Anolis sagrei: one gene and its partner. The protein of the gene in region 1 interacts with the protein of each later gene in a biochemical or structural test. Links are inferred from orthologs where the notes say so. Each region holds a gene or a part of one and is shown in the gene's direction. Other genes may lie near its edges.

Evidence for each region.
Region 2: of the proteins of CREB1 (region 1) and RPS6KA5, one has a biochemical effect on the other in vitro, tested with the Homo sapiens proteins (3 studies listed by BioGRID, with this or other methods). The link is inferred for Anolis sagrei from reciprocal best matches to the Homo sapiens genes CREB1 and RPS6KA5.

The regions. Positions count from the first base shown.
Region 1 is NC_090021.1:168,932,428-168,938,820, forward strand, and holds the start of CREB1 (cyclic AMP-responsive element-binding protein 1), read left to right. Parts: upstream 1-1,873; 5' UTR 1,874-2,142; intron 2,143-6,393.
Region 2 is NC_090021.1:315,294,846-315,301,238, reverse strand, and holds the start of RPS6KA5 (ribosomal protein S6 kinase alpha-5), read left to right. Parts: upstream 1-2,181; 5' UTR 2,182-2,539; coding exon 2,540-2,612; intron 2,613-6,393. UniProt on the Homo sapiens protein: Serine/threonine-protein kinase that is required for the mitogen or stress-induced phosphorylation of the transcription factors CREB1 and ATF1 and for the regulation of the transcription factors RELA, STAT3 and ETV1/ER81, and that contributes to gene activation by histone phosphorylation and functions in the regulation of inflammatory genes.

The DNA.
Region 1 (6,393 bases):
AAGCAGAAGTAGATGTTTTTCTGAAACTCCCTGCCTTTCTCCATTATCCAGCGGATATTGGCAATCTGGTCTCTCGTTCCTCTGCCTTTTCTAAACCCAGCTTGAACATCTGGCAACTCTCGCTCCATGTATTGCTGGAGTCTTCCTTGCAGAATCTTGAGCATTACCTTACTGGCATGAGAAATAAGGGCCACTGTACGGAAGTTTGAGCAGTCTTTCGCATTTCCCTTTTTTGGTATGGGGATATAAGTTGATTTTTTCCAGTCTGATGGCCATTCTTGTGTTTTCCATATTTGCTGGCAAATGGCATGCATCACCTTGACAGCATCATCTTTTAAGATTTTAAACAGTTCAGCTGGGATCCCGTCGTCTCCTGCTGCCTTGTTGTTAGCAATGCTTCTTAAGGCCCATTCAACCTCACTCCTCAGGATGTCTGGTTCTAATTCATTCACCACACCGTCAAAACTATAACAACATCCAATTTGCCCTGGCTCATAGATCTTACATTCCAGGTTCCTATGGTGTGTTGATCTTTAGAGCATCGGATTCGTCGTTCACCTCCAGTACCGTCGGCCGCTAGCCTTCCTTTCGGCTTTGAGCTAGCTGCGTCATCACATCTGGGGCTAGTTGAACTTATCCTCTGCTCCTCCCCAGTAGCATTTTGGCCATCTTCCGACCTGGGAGTCCCATCTTCCAATGGCATACCGACATATCTCTGGTTGTACTGGTCCATTTAGTTTTCTTGGCAAGGATACTGGAGTGGTTTGCCATTGCCTTCCCCAGGGATCACGCTTGGTCTGACCTCTCTGCCACAACCGTCCCGTCTTGGGTGTCCCTTCACGGTTTCGCTCATGACATCATTGAGGTGCTCAAGCTCCAGCGCCCCGACAAGGCGGTGATCCTTTGCTGGAGGTTTTTTGCACTACAAATAAGATATATGCAGTGTCTATAGGAATTGGTTCATTTTTTTTTTCAAATTATAATCTGGCCCTCCAACAGTTTGAGGGAATGTAACCTGGCCCAGTGGGTTAAAGCACTGAGCTGCTGAGCTTGTTGATTGAAAGGTCACAGGTTCAATTCCGCTGTCAGCCCTAGCTTCTGCCAACCTAGCAGTTCGAAAACATGCAAATGTGAGTAGATCAATAGGTACCGCTCCGGCGGGAAGGTAACGGCGGTCCATGCGGTCATGCCGGCCACATGACCTTGGAGGTGTCTACGGACAACGCTGGCTCTTCAGCTTAGAAATGGAGATGAGCACCACATCCCAGAGTCAGACATGACTGGACTTATTGTCAGGGGACTACCTTTACCTTTACCTTTACCTAACCTGGCCCTCTGTTTAAAAAGTTTGAGGACCCCTGCCTTAAACCCCCTCCCCCTCCTCTGGATCCAGGCCTGGGAGAGAGCGCGAGGCAGAAGAGAAGGGGGGAAAGCGCGCGCGAGGCAGAAGAGAAGGGGGGGGGGGGAATGGCGGGACAGGAATGGAGTAATGGGGAGAGAGAGCGCAGGGTAGAAGACAAGGGAGGGGAGACAGCGAGCGCGAGGCAGAAGGGAGGGGGAAGGTTCGCGAGACAGAAGAGAAGGGAGGGGGGAAATGGAGCGCGAGGCAAGAGGGAGGGGGGAGAGCACGCGAGGCAGAAGAGTAGGGAGGGGGGAGAGAAGAGCGCGAGGGAGGGGGAGCGCGCGAGGCAGAAGAGAAGGGGGGGAAGGAGCGCGAGGCAAGAGGGAGGGGGGAGAGTGCGCTAGGCAGTAGAGTAGGGAGGGGGGAGCGCGCGAGGCAGAAGGGAAGGGAGGGGGAGGAGAGCGAAGGCATGCTCGGCGGCGGCGGCGCTTGCTCCCTCCCTCCCTCCCTCCCTCCCTGGCCTCCTCCTCCTCTTCTCCCCCCCTCCCTTGCCTTCCCCTCCGTCGGCCGCTCTGCTTGCCTGCCTGCCTGCCTTGCCTTGCCTTGGCTGCCTGGCCTTGCTGTCGCCGGCGCTGGGAGAGCCGGAGCGAGCGAGCGAGCGAGCGGGCGCGTGGTGTGTGTGTCCTGTGAGTGACGCGGCGGAGGTGTAGTTTGACGCGGTGTGTTACGTGGGGGAGAGAATAAAACTGCGGCGAGAGCCTCGGCGCGAACGAAAGCAGTGACGGAGCAGCCTCTGGCCGGTAAGAGGAGAAGGAGAAAGCCCAGCGAGCACGCAGGAAGGAAGGAAAGAAAGAAAGGCAGGCCGAGGAGACAAAGGCCGACCAGAGAGAGAGAGAGGAAGGAGGAGGAAAACAGGGAGGGGCGGCGGCCGTTGAGGGAAGGAAGGAGGCAAAGAGAGAGAGAGCCAAGCTTCGGCCTAACGCGCTCTTCCCCTCCCTTCCCCTCAGTTCTGTGGCGGTTTTAATTTTTAAAATGGAGCCTCTCCTTCCTCCTGCCCTGGCCCGGCGCTGCTGCTGGAGGAGGAACAAAGAGTAATGGCGGATGGAAGCGGCCGGGCCAGGCAGAGACGAGGCGAGCCAAGCCTGGCGGGCGGGCGGACCGAGGAGGAGGATGGCGGCGGCCAAGCGGGGGGAAGAAACTAGGCCACGGCGCCCTTGGGAGAGGGAGAGGGCCTTCCCGCGAGGGTCTTCCCTCTGTCCCTCTCTCATCACGCAGTTTGTAACATAAATTGGTCATAAACACACGCTTCAGAGGTATAAGCAACCTCTTAAGAAGGGGGGGGGGGGGAATCCGCCGATCCTTTTTCTCCATAAGGTGCCCCCCCCTTCTTTAGGGCAGTAATATGGATCTAGTGGATCCAACACACACACATGCCTCACTCTTCTCCAAGCCAGAAGTTAGATGCCCCACCCCAGCCCTCTCTTCTCTTTTCCCGCCCAATGCTGAGCAGGGACTTCCCTGGCAGCCTTACACACGGAGTCCTAGGAGGAAAGGGAAAGGGGGTGATCATCACTATGTGGGGTCATCAGAGAAGCCTCTCACAAGGGTGGCAAAACGTCCAGGCGGCCTTGCAGACAGCACATTCTCTCACACCAGAAGCGACTTGCAGTTTCTCAAGTTGCTCCTGACATGAGAAACAAAACTCCCAATACTCGCTTCTGCTGTGCTTGGAGCAGACCCTCGATTCTGTCCCACGGGTCCAGAGGTTCCTCTTTTCATAGTCAAAGCATCCATTTGGCAGGAGTCCCCGTCCACTGTACCAGCAAAACAGTTTTAAAAAAACATGGCTCCAATTTGAAAAACCTCCGAAAGTTCCTTTTGAAATAAAAATAATTTTGGATCTACACTATTCTTGAACATCTTGTTTTCCTCACAGTTCTGTGTGGTTATGATGAAAGCTCTGGTGCTGGAAATGGTTGTATTTGTTTCAAACTTAATCCTCACTGCTCTGGTTTTTATCCCTCCCCCCTTTGATCTGTACTTTGAGGGGTTGTGCTTAGGCGAAAAGTTGTATTAAATGAGGCACTGCTAGTATTACTGACACTTTTGTTTTATTTGTAGAATCTATTCACCTCAGTTCAGTTTACATGGCACTCAGTAAAGTAATATAAGGGAGCAGACATGTAGTGGGGGGGGGGGGACTTTAGGGGCTTCAGCCCCCCCCCCCCCCCCAAATTCTCATGGTGGTTCGCGAGAAGGCCTTACTGGTTCATTATTTAAACTGTTATGTTTATTCATATCATGATCTGATCACCATACTCAATATATCCCATATGCATGGGGGTATTGGGGTAACGATACAAAAGCTTTGCTAGGGTAGACCCTCTTTCACTCAGACTCAGCCCCCCCCCCCCCCCCCCCCAAAATCGAAATCCTGGCTACGGGCCTGTAAGGGAGATAACTTAAAACAATGTACTAAATTAGGGGGGCTAGGAAGAGTGCAGGCAAGAAAAGTTAACACATATATAAGTTTAGCTTCAGTTATGAGTGGAGTCGTTTTGAATTAACTTTCCTACTTCCCATGCCCTGTTTCTTCCCTCTCTAACCAAGGCAAATAAAATATGTTATTTCCATTTTATAGGAAATATTTTCATGTACATTTCCCTATTTCTGAAGTTATTAGGATGAAATTTAGTATTTAACAGCCTCACTAAACCCCAGAGGTCTGCAGGAGGCAGAAACTGGATTTTAAATGGATTTATTCTCTAGTGCAGGGGTCCTCAAACTTTTTAAACAAAGGGCCAGGTCACAGTCCCTCAAACAGTTGGAGGGCCGGATTATAATTTGAAAAAAAAAACATGAATGAATTCCTATGCACACTGCACATATCTTATTTGTAGTGCAAAATCCACTTAAAAAACAATACAATAATTAAAATGAAGAACAATTTAGCAAATGTAAACTTATTAGTATTTCAATGGGAAGTGTGGGCCTATTTTTGGCTGATGAGCTAGGATTGTTGTTATTGTTTTGTTCTTTCAAGTCGTTTCAGACTTAAGTTGACCCTAAGCGAGGGCCTCATCTGGCCCCCGGGCCTTAGTTGAGGATCCCTGCTTTAGTGTGATGAAGTATCTGTTCAAATCTTGTGTAGGTCCAAGCCTGTGAGAGAATGTCTTTTCCCTCACCCAAAAGTCATGTTTTAGAACAGGCATGGCCATACTTTGGTCCTCCATGTGTTTTGGACTTCAACTTGCACAATTCCTAACAGCCAGGTATTGTGGGAGTTGAAGTCCAAGACTCTTGGAGGGCCAAAGTCTGCCCATGCCTGTTTTAGAATCTACCAAGGACGTTTTATGCTCGCAGGCCTCTTTGGGCTGGAGGAGCTACTCTACCACTCAAGGAGTTTTCCACTTCCTCTTAACCCAGTGGTTCTCAACCTGTGGGTTCCCAGATGTTTTGGCCTTCAACTCCCAGAAATCCTTACAGCTGGTAAAGTGGCTGGGATTTCTGGGAGTTGTAGGCCAAAACACCTGGGGACCTACAGGTTGAGAACTACTGTCTTAACCTCACTCTGTTTTTTAGCTAGGGTTGGGATTTCAGTCATTGTAAAACAAAAACCTGGATTTTTAGCTACATTGGATGTTTTAATAATTTTTATGTTGCAAAATAGGATACAAAGTAAAGGGCTAATTTTAGCAACAGTATCCCAGTATATTAAGTTTCAAGTAAGTTACTTGGTGCTGATTAATACACACTTCATAACAACATAAGGGAGGTTTTACCATGCTTACAACACAGTTCATTTACTTACTGTTTTAGACAACCTATTTGGCCATCATCGAAAAGTGAATTTCACCATATAGTTAGTACTCTCAATCTAAGACTCCTTTAAAGTTTGCATCTCCTGAAGTCCTAGTTTTCAGCCAAACATTGATCTTGATTGTTTTCCCTAATATGCTTTAATGCAGGGGTCCTCAAACTTTGTAAACAGAGGGCCAGGTTACAGTCCCTCAAACTGTTGGAGGGCCGGATTATAATTTGAAAAAAACATGAACGAATTCCTATGCACACTGCACATATCCTATTTGTAGTGCAAATAACACTTTAAAACATTACAATAATTAAAATGAAGAACAATTTTAACAGATATAAACTTATTAGTATTTAAATGGGAAGTGTGGGCCTGCTTTTGGCTGATGAGATAGAATTGTTGTGGTTGTGTGCTTTCAAGTCATTTCAGACTTAGGTTAACCCTGAGCGAGGGCCGGGTAAATGACCTTGGAAGGCCGTATACAGCCCTCGGGCCTTAGTTTTGGGGGCCCTGCTTTAATGTATAGGCAGTCATATTTGAAGGGTCACAGATAGGGTTTTTATGATATTTATTGTTGTTGTTCCTGTATTGCTTCCATTTCACAGAGAAATTTTAGTGTTCTCACATATCCTTGTTTCACCAGACTGTGGCCTAAATCCACCCAACTAGGAAAAGTATCGTGAACTAGGTAGTGGAACATAAATGCCATTGATTTGGTTGGTCTAGTTGGGGGTGGCAATTGGATTTATACCTGTATTTATAAATGCAATAATTTCATACTGTTCTAGACAGGGTTTGTTACTAAATTCTAACATAACTTTGTGGCTCTTCAAATATTGCATACTTTTCAGGAACGAGGGCTTCATGGACTAGAGCCCTCCCTACTACACATGCTGGATTCTGTGGCCTGAATGTAATAGTGCTCATGCTTTTATAGAAAGTGTTATAATGTATAAATTGGACACTATATTTGTAGACTTTTTAAAAACATAATCTACAGCCCCCTTTGAAAATCTGTCCCTAAGTATTGAGAAATTTTTAGAACTTAATAAATATAATGAAGAAAGCTGCAGTCAATTGGGGATTTGGCAATATGGACCACCTTTCACAAATAAGCTATTATTGGAATTCTGCAAATGCCAATCAAGTGCTAAAAAAACACAGCCTAGGTATAATCCTCTGTTAGAAAATATATAAAGTGTGATTTAAAAAATTAACAAAAAAACCTTCAAGCGTCAAT
Region 2 (6,393 bases), about 150 Mb from region 1:
CAAACTCAAGAACGGAAAACGGAATGTTGGAGGACAGGAAAAGAGACTTAAAGATGGGCTCAAAGCCAACCTTAAAAACTCTGGCATAGACACTGAGAACTGGGAAGCGCTGGCCCTTGAGCGCTCCAGCTGGAAGTCAGCTGTGACCAGCAGTGCTGCAGAATTTGAAGAGGCACGAATGGAGGGTGAAAGAGAGAAACGTGCCAAGAGGAAGGCGCGTCAAGCCAACCCCGACCAAGACCGCCTTCCACCTGGAAACCAATCCCCACACTGCGGGAGAAGATGCAGGTCAAGAATAGGTCTCCACAGCCACATACGGACCCACAAGAACACTGGAAGACAATCATCCTCGGAAAACGAGGGATCGCCTAAGTAAAGTTAGTAAGTATGTGTGTGTGTGTGTGTGTGTGTATATATATATATATATACACACACACACACACATACTTACTTATATATATATCTCTCTCTTGTACGGAGCCCCCGGTGGCGCAGTGGGTTAAAGCATTGAGCTGCTGAGCTTGTTGATCAAAAGGTCGCAGGTTAGATTCCGGGGAGCGGCGTGAGCTACCGCTGTCAGCCCTAGCTTCTGCCAACCTAGCAGTTCAAAAACATGCAAATGTGAATAGATCAATAGGTACTGCTCCGGCGGGAAGGTAACGGCGCTCCATGCAGTCATGCTGGCCACATGACCTTGGAGGTGTCTACGGAAAACGCTGGCTCTTCGGCTTAGAAATGGAGATGAGCGCCACACCCGAGTCAGACATGACTGGACTTAATGTCAGGGGACTACCTTTACCTTTTTATATCTTGTAAGCTGCTCTGAGTGAGATGTGCGGCATATAAATGCCGTAATAATGTATGTCCTTCACTCAAAAAAAATATATGATTTTGTCATTTGGCAGTTGTAGTTGCTGGGATTTATAGCTCACCTACAATCACAAGGCATTTTGAACCCCACCAACGATGGAATTGAACCAAACTTGGCACACAGTTCTCCCATGACCAACAGAAAATACTGGAAGGGTTTGGTGGGCAGTGTCCTTTGGTTTTGGAGTTGTAGTTCACCTACATCCAGAGATCACTGTGGACTCAAAACAATGATGGATCTGGACCAAACTCTACATGAATACTCAATATGCCCAAATGTGAACACTGGTGGAGTTTGGGGGAAAATAGAATCTTGACATTTGGGAGTTGTAGTTGCTGGGATTTATAGCTCACCTACAATCACAGACCATTCTGAACCCCACCAACGATAGAATTGGGCCAAACCTGCCACACAGAACTCCCATGTGGGCCACAGCAACGCGTGGCAGGGGACAGCTAGTAAATAGAATCATAGAATCAAAGAGTTGGAAGAGACCTCATGGGCCATCCAGTCCAGCCCCCTGCCAAGAAGCAGGAATATTGCATTCAAATCACCCCTGACAGATGGCCATCCAGCCTCTGTTTAAAAGCTTCCAAAGAAGGAGCCTCCACCACACTCCGGGGCAGAGAGTTCCACTGCTGAACGGCTCTCACAGTCAGGAAATTCTTCCTAATGTTCAGATGGAATCTCCTCTCTTGTAGTTTGAAGCCATCGTTTCGCGTCCTAGTCTCCAGAGAAGCAAAAAACAAGCTTGCTCCCTCCTCCCTGTGGCTTCCTCTCACATATTTATACATGGCTATCATATCCCCTCTCAGCTTTCTCTTCTTCAGGCTAAACATATATAAATGTGTCCTTGTCCTTACTCTTACTGGACACCGAATAAACGTGAGGCGTCGCCTGGGTCCTTTTGGTGAAGCCACTCACCGCCCGTTCTCCTTCTCTGGGCCTTTTAATGCCTTTAGCTCCACCCTCAGGGGGCGGGGTTGCATAATATTGACTCTTTCCTGAGGGAAAGAAAGAGGACGGCCGGGAAAAGGGCGCGAAGAGGCAGCAGCGCCCAAGAGACTGAAGGAAGGAGAAGGCGAAGGAAACCAAGGAAGGCAGAAAGAGAGGGAGGGAGGGAGGGAGGGAGGAAGTCAGTAGCGCGAGCCATTGATTGGCGCAAGGGCCGGGCCAATGGCCTCGCTCTGTTCGTGGCGGCTCGAGCCGGGAGGCGGGGTCGGTCGCGCGGCAACGTCCCCCGACCAATCGCCGCCCTGGTGTGTAGCCTCGCGAGCCAATGACCGTTGGGCTCCCCCCCTCCCCTTCTCCCCCCCCTCATTGCTTCAGTCAGGAGGAAGGAATAGCTATCTCCAGGGCTGTTCTGCTTTTTTTCTGTTTTGATCCCTCTCTCTCTCTCTCTCTCTCTCCCTTCTAGGGATGGGGTGAATCTAAGGGATTGGCGTCTCTACGAGGAAATGATCCACATTCATTGCGCGCCTGGTTGTCATTTCTTTTAATATGATTTATTCTTCGTTTTCTTGACATCCAACATGGAAGACGTTTCTTAGAAGCTCCTTTTGAGCTGGATGTGGGGCGAAGTGACCTCTTGTACCTCAGCGCCTCCCTAGTATTGAAGACAAGTGGAGTATTATTATTATTATTATTATTATTGTATCCTGTGAGGAAATGGAAGGACCTTCGGCGCCACAAGAACAAGGAGACTGGTCCCTTTTCACCGTCAAGCATGAGCTGAGGAACGGTAAGAAGGAAAGGAGGAAAATCCCATATTATTTGCTTTGAACTGGGATATAGGGCAGTGTGGACTTCCACACAGCCTTATATCCCAGAATATCAAGGTAGAAAACCTCACATCTGCTTTGAACTGGAATATTTGGTAGTGTGGACTTAGGGCCCTTCCACACATCCCTATATCCCAGAATATCAAGGCAGAAAACCTCACATCTGCTTTGAACTGGAATATTTGGCACTGTGGACACAGATAACCCACTTCAAAGCAGATATTGTGGAATTTCCTGCCTTGATATGCTGGGATATAGGGCTGTGTGGAAGGGCCTTGGGTTATCTAAGGCTCCTTCCACACAACTGAATAAAATCCCATATTATCTGCTTTGAACTGGGATATAGGGCAGTGTGGACTTACGGCCCTTCCAAACAGCCCTATATTCCAGAATATCAAGGCAGAAAACCTCACATCTGCTTTGAACTGGAATATATGGCAGTGTGGACACAGATAACCCACTTCAAAGCAGATTTTGTGGGATTTCCTGCCATGATATTCTGGGATATAGGGCTGTGTGGAAGGGCCTTGGGTTATCTAAGGCTCCTTCCACAGAGCTGAATAAAATCCCACATTATCTGCTTTGAACTGGAATATATGGCAGTGTAGATTTAAAATAACCCGGTTCAAAGCAGATTTTGTGGGATTTTCTGGCTTGATATTCTGGGGTCCCTTCCACACAGCCCTACATTGCAGATTATCTGCTTTGAATTGGGCTATCTGTGTCCACACTGCCAAATATTCCAGTTCAAAGCAGATAATGTGAGGTTTTCTGCCTTGATATTCTGGGATATAGGGCTGTGTGGAAGGGCCCTAAGTCCACACTGCCATATATCCCAGTTCAAATCAGATAATGTAAGGTTATTCAGCTGTGTGAAAAGGGCCTCAGATAACCCAAGGCTCTTCCACACAGCCCTATATCCCAGAATATCAAGGCAGAAAATCCTGCATTATCTGTTTGAACTGGAATATATGGCAGTGTGGACTCAGATAACCCAGTTGAAAGCAGATATTGTGGGATTTTCAGCCTTGATATTCTTGAATATAGGGATGTGTGGAAGAGCCCCCAGTTCAATGCAGATATTGTGGGATTTTCTGCTTTGATATTCTGTGTGGAAGGGCCCTGGGAAAGAAAGGGAGAAATCCCGCCACAAAATAAAGGGGTGGGAGGCTTATGGAGCAGGTTCATCAAAGTCTGAATCCTATGAGAGTTTTTGTTAAGAATGCATTTCTCTGTGTTTTCACTTGTATTCCTTTTTCTAATTTATCCTGAGTCTCTGTAGGAAAGGTGGGAGATGTGTCAGAACAACATGACTTACAGAGTTACAGAGTTGGAAGAGACTCCCAAGGGTCATCCAGTCCAACCCCTTTGTGCCATGCAGGAAAATGTTAATAATAATAACTTTAATGAATAATAATAAAAAAAAACCTTATTTGCATCCTGCCCCCATCTCCCAAAAAAGGACTCGGTGTGGTTTACAGTATAAACATCAACAGTAAAAAAGTAAAGGTTTTCCCCTGATGTTAAGCCTGGTCATGTCCGACTCTGGGGGGTGGTGCTCATCTCCATTTCTAAGCCAAAGAGCCAGTGTTATCCATAGACACCTCCAAGGTCATGTGTCCAGCATGACTGCATAGACTGCCATTCTCTTCCTGTAGAAGCGGTACCTATTGATCTACTCACATTTGCATGTTTTTGAACTGCTAGTTTGGCAGAAGTGCTAGTTTGGCAGCAGGAGCTCACCCCGCTCCCCGGATTTGAACCATTGACCTTTTGGTCAGCAAGTTCAGCAACTCAGTGGTTTAATCCGCTGTGCCATCAAGGGGCCCTAACATCAACAGTACAGGAGTATAAAATAGTATCACATAAGAGTTATAAGCAACCACTATCAACACATAAATAAGATAAAACAGACAATTTAAAACCACTTACCATCAATGGTTAAAACTAGCTGCCATCAATATTCAACTAAAGTGCCAAAGTGTCAGCCTAATACAGGCCCATTTCAACCTACTTGAGGCCAAAGGCCTGCTTAAAAATCCATTTTATTAGGCTAGAACAGAAGGATAACTTTGTATCCTGCCTCATCTCCCCAAAGGGACTCGGGACAGCTTACAAAACAGCAACAATGCAAAACAGAACAATATAGGATGTACAGAAGTCAAAATAAAAAATAAATACCAAATAAAATAAAATAACAACATACAGGATTAACATAGAACGCCTCAATCAAAATAAAATAAACAATAAAACACAACAATAACTTGTAATTAAACCAAACTATACAAACCACTTGAACGTTCCAGCCACAAAATGGATTAAAAATCTCAGCATCAGGGTATGCATGCAGTTCATTGTATTTAGTACTACAAATTTTAGATGATCCATTAGACATTAGAAACACAATCAAAGCACCCCTGACAGATAGCCATCCAGTGTCAGTTTACAAAATCCAGAGGAAGGGACTCCCGTCACACTGTATCGCAAAGGCATGGGCAAACATCGGCTCTCTGGGTGTTTTGGACTTCAGCTTCCACAATTCCTAACAGCCATAGGCTGTTAGAGATTGTGGGAGTTGAAGTCCAAAACACCCAAAGGGCCAAAGTTTTCCCATGCCTGCTATAGCAGTTCATTTCAGCCCTTACCATCAATACCTTCTGCTATTCAAGTGGAGTTTCCTTTCCTGAAGATCCTTGCTATGTGGGTTCACACCATCAAAGTACTCTCGACAGACAGCAATCCAGTGTTATCCCCAATCTCATGTGATAAAATGTTATACTTCCTTATTTATCCTCTTGCACTGTATGTGGTAAGAAGAGTAGTGAGTGGATTATGAAAGAACTCCATAGTGTTCTGCTCCTCCTCTGCAGTTAGTATTACATCCTTGAAGGGCAGTCCAGTGCTTCATGGAAAGCACCTACTAACCTCCATAGGAGATGAACTGATGCTTTTCTCAGTGTCTTTTACAAATATAAAACACAGATCAGGTGCTTAGTATAATAGAATAATAGAATTAAAAGAGCCCCCTCCCCCCACCCCCCGCCGGGCCATCGAGTCCAAATCTATCCAGCCATGCAGGAAAACATGATCAAAACACAGATGGCCACATCCAGCCTCTGTTTAAACCACACACCCCAAGCCCCTGAGAAGAGGGTACTGTACTGCCAAACAGCTCTTACCATTAGGAAGTTCTTCCTAATGTTTAGGTGAAATCTTTTTCTTCTATTTGAATCCATTGTTTTGTGGCCTCATCTCCAGAGCAGCAGAAAACAAGCTTGCCTCTTTCTTAATGTGACATCTTTCAAATATTTAAACAAGGCTCTCATGTCCCCTCTCAGCCTCTCCTCCAAGCTAAATATACCAGCTTCCTAAGCCACTCCTCATAGAGCTTGACTTCCAAACTTGTCGATATCTTTCTTGAATTGCAATATCCATATACAATGCAATATATTAGTGTACCTCCCCTGCTCCCCCAAGTGAGGAATGTGGATAAAAATTGCCCAGGGAACTGAAGAAGACAGAAAAAATTCAAAGTGCTGGCTTTAGCCTATAAAGCCCTAAACGGTTCTGGACCAGCCTACCTATCCGAACGCATCTTTTCCTACGAACCCTCCAGGAAGTTAAGATCATCTGAGGAGGCCCTGCTCTCGATCCCGTCTGCTTCGCAAGCACGCTTGGCGGGGACGAGAGACAGGGCCTTCTCTGTGGTGGCCCCTCGGCTGTGGAACTCCTTGCCTAGGG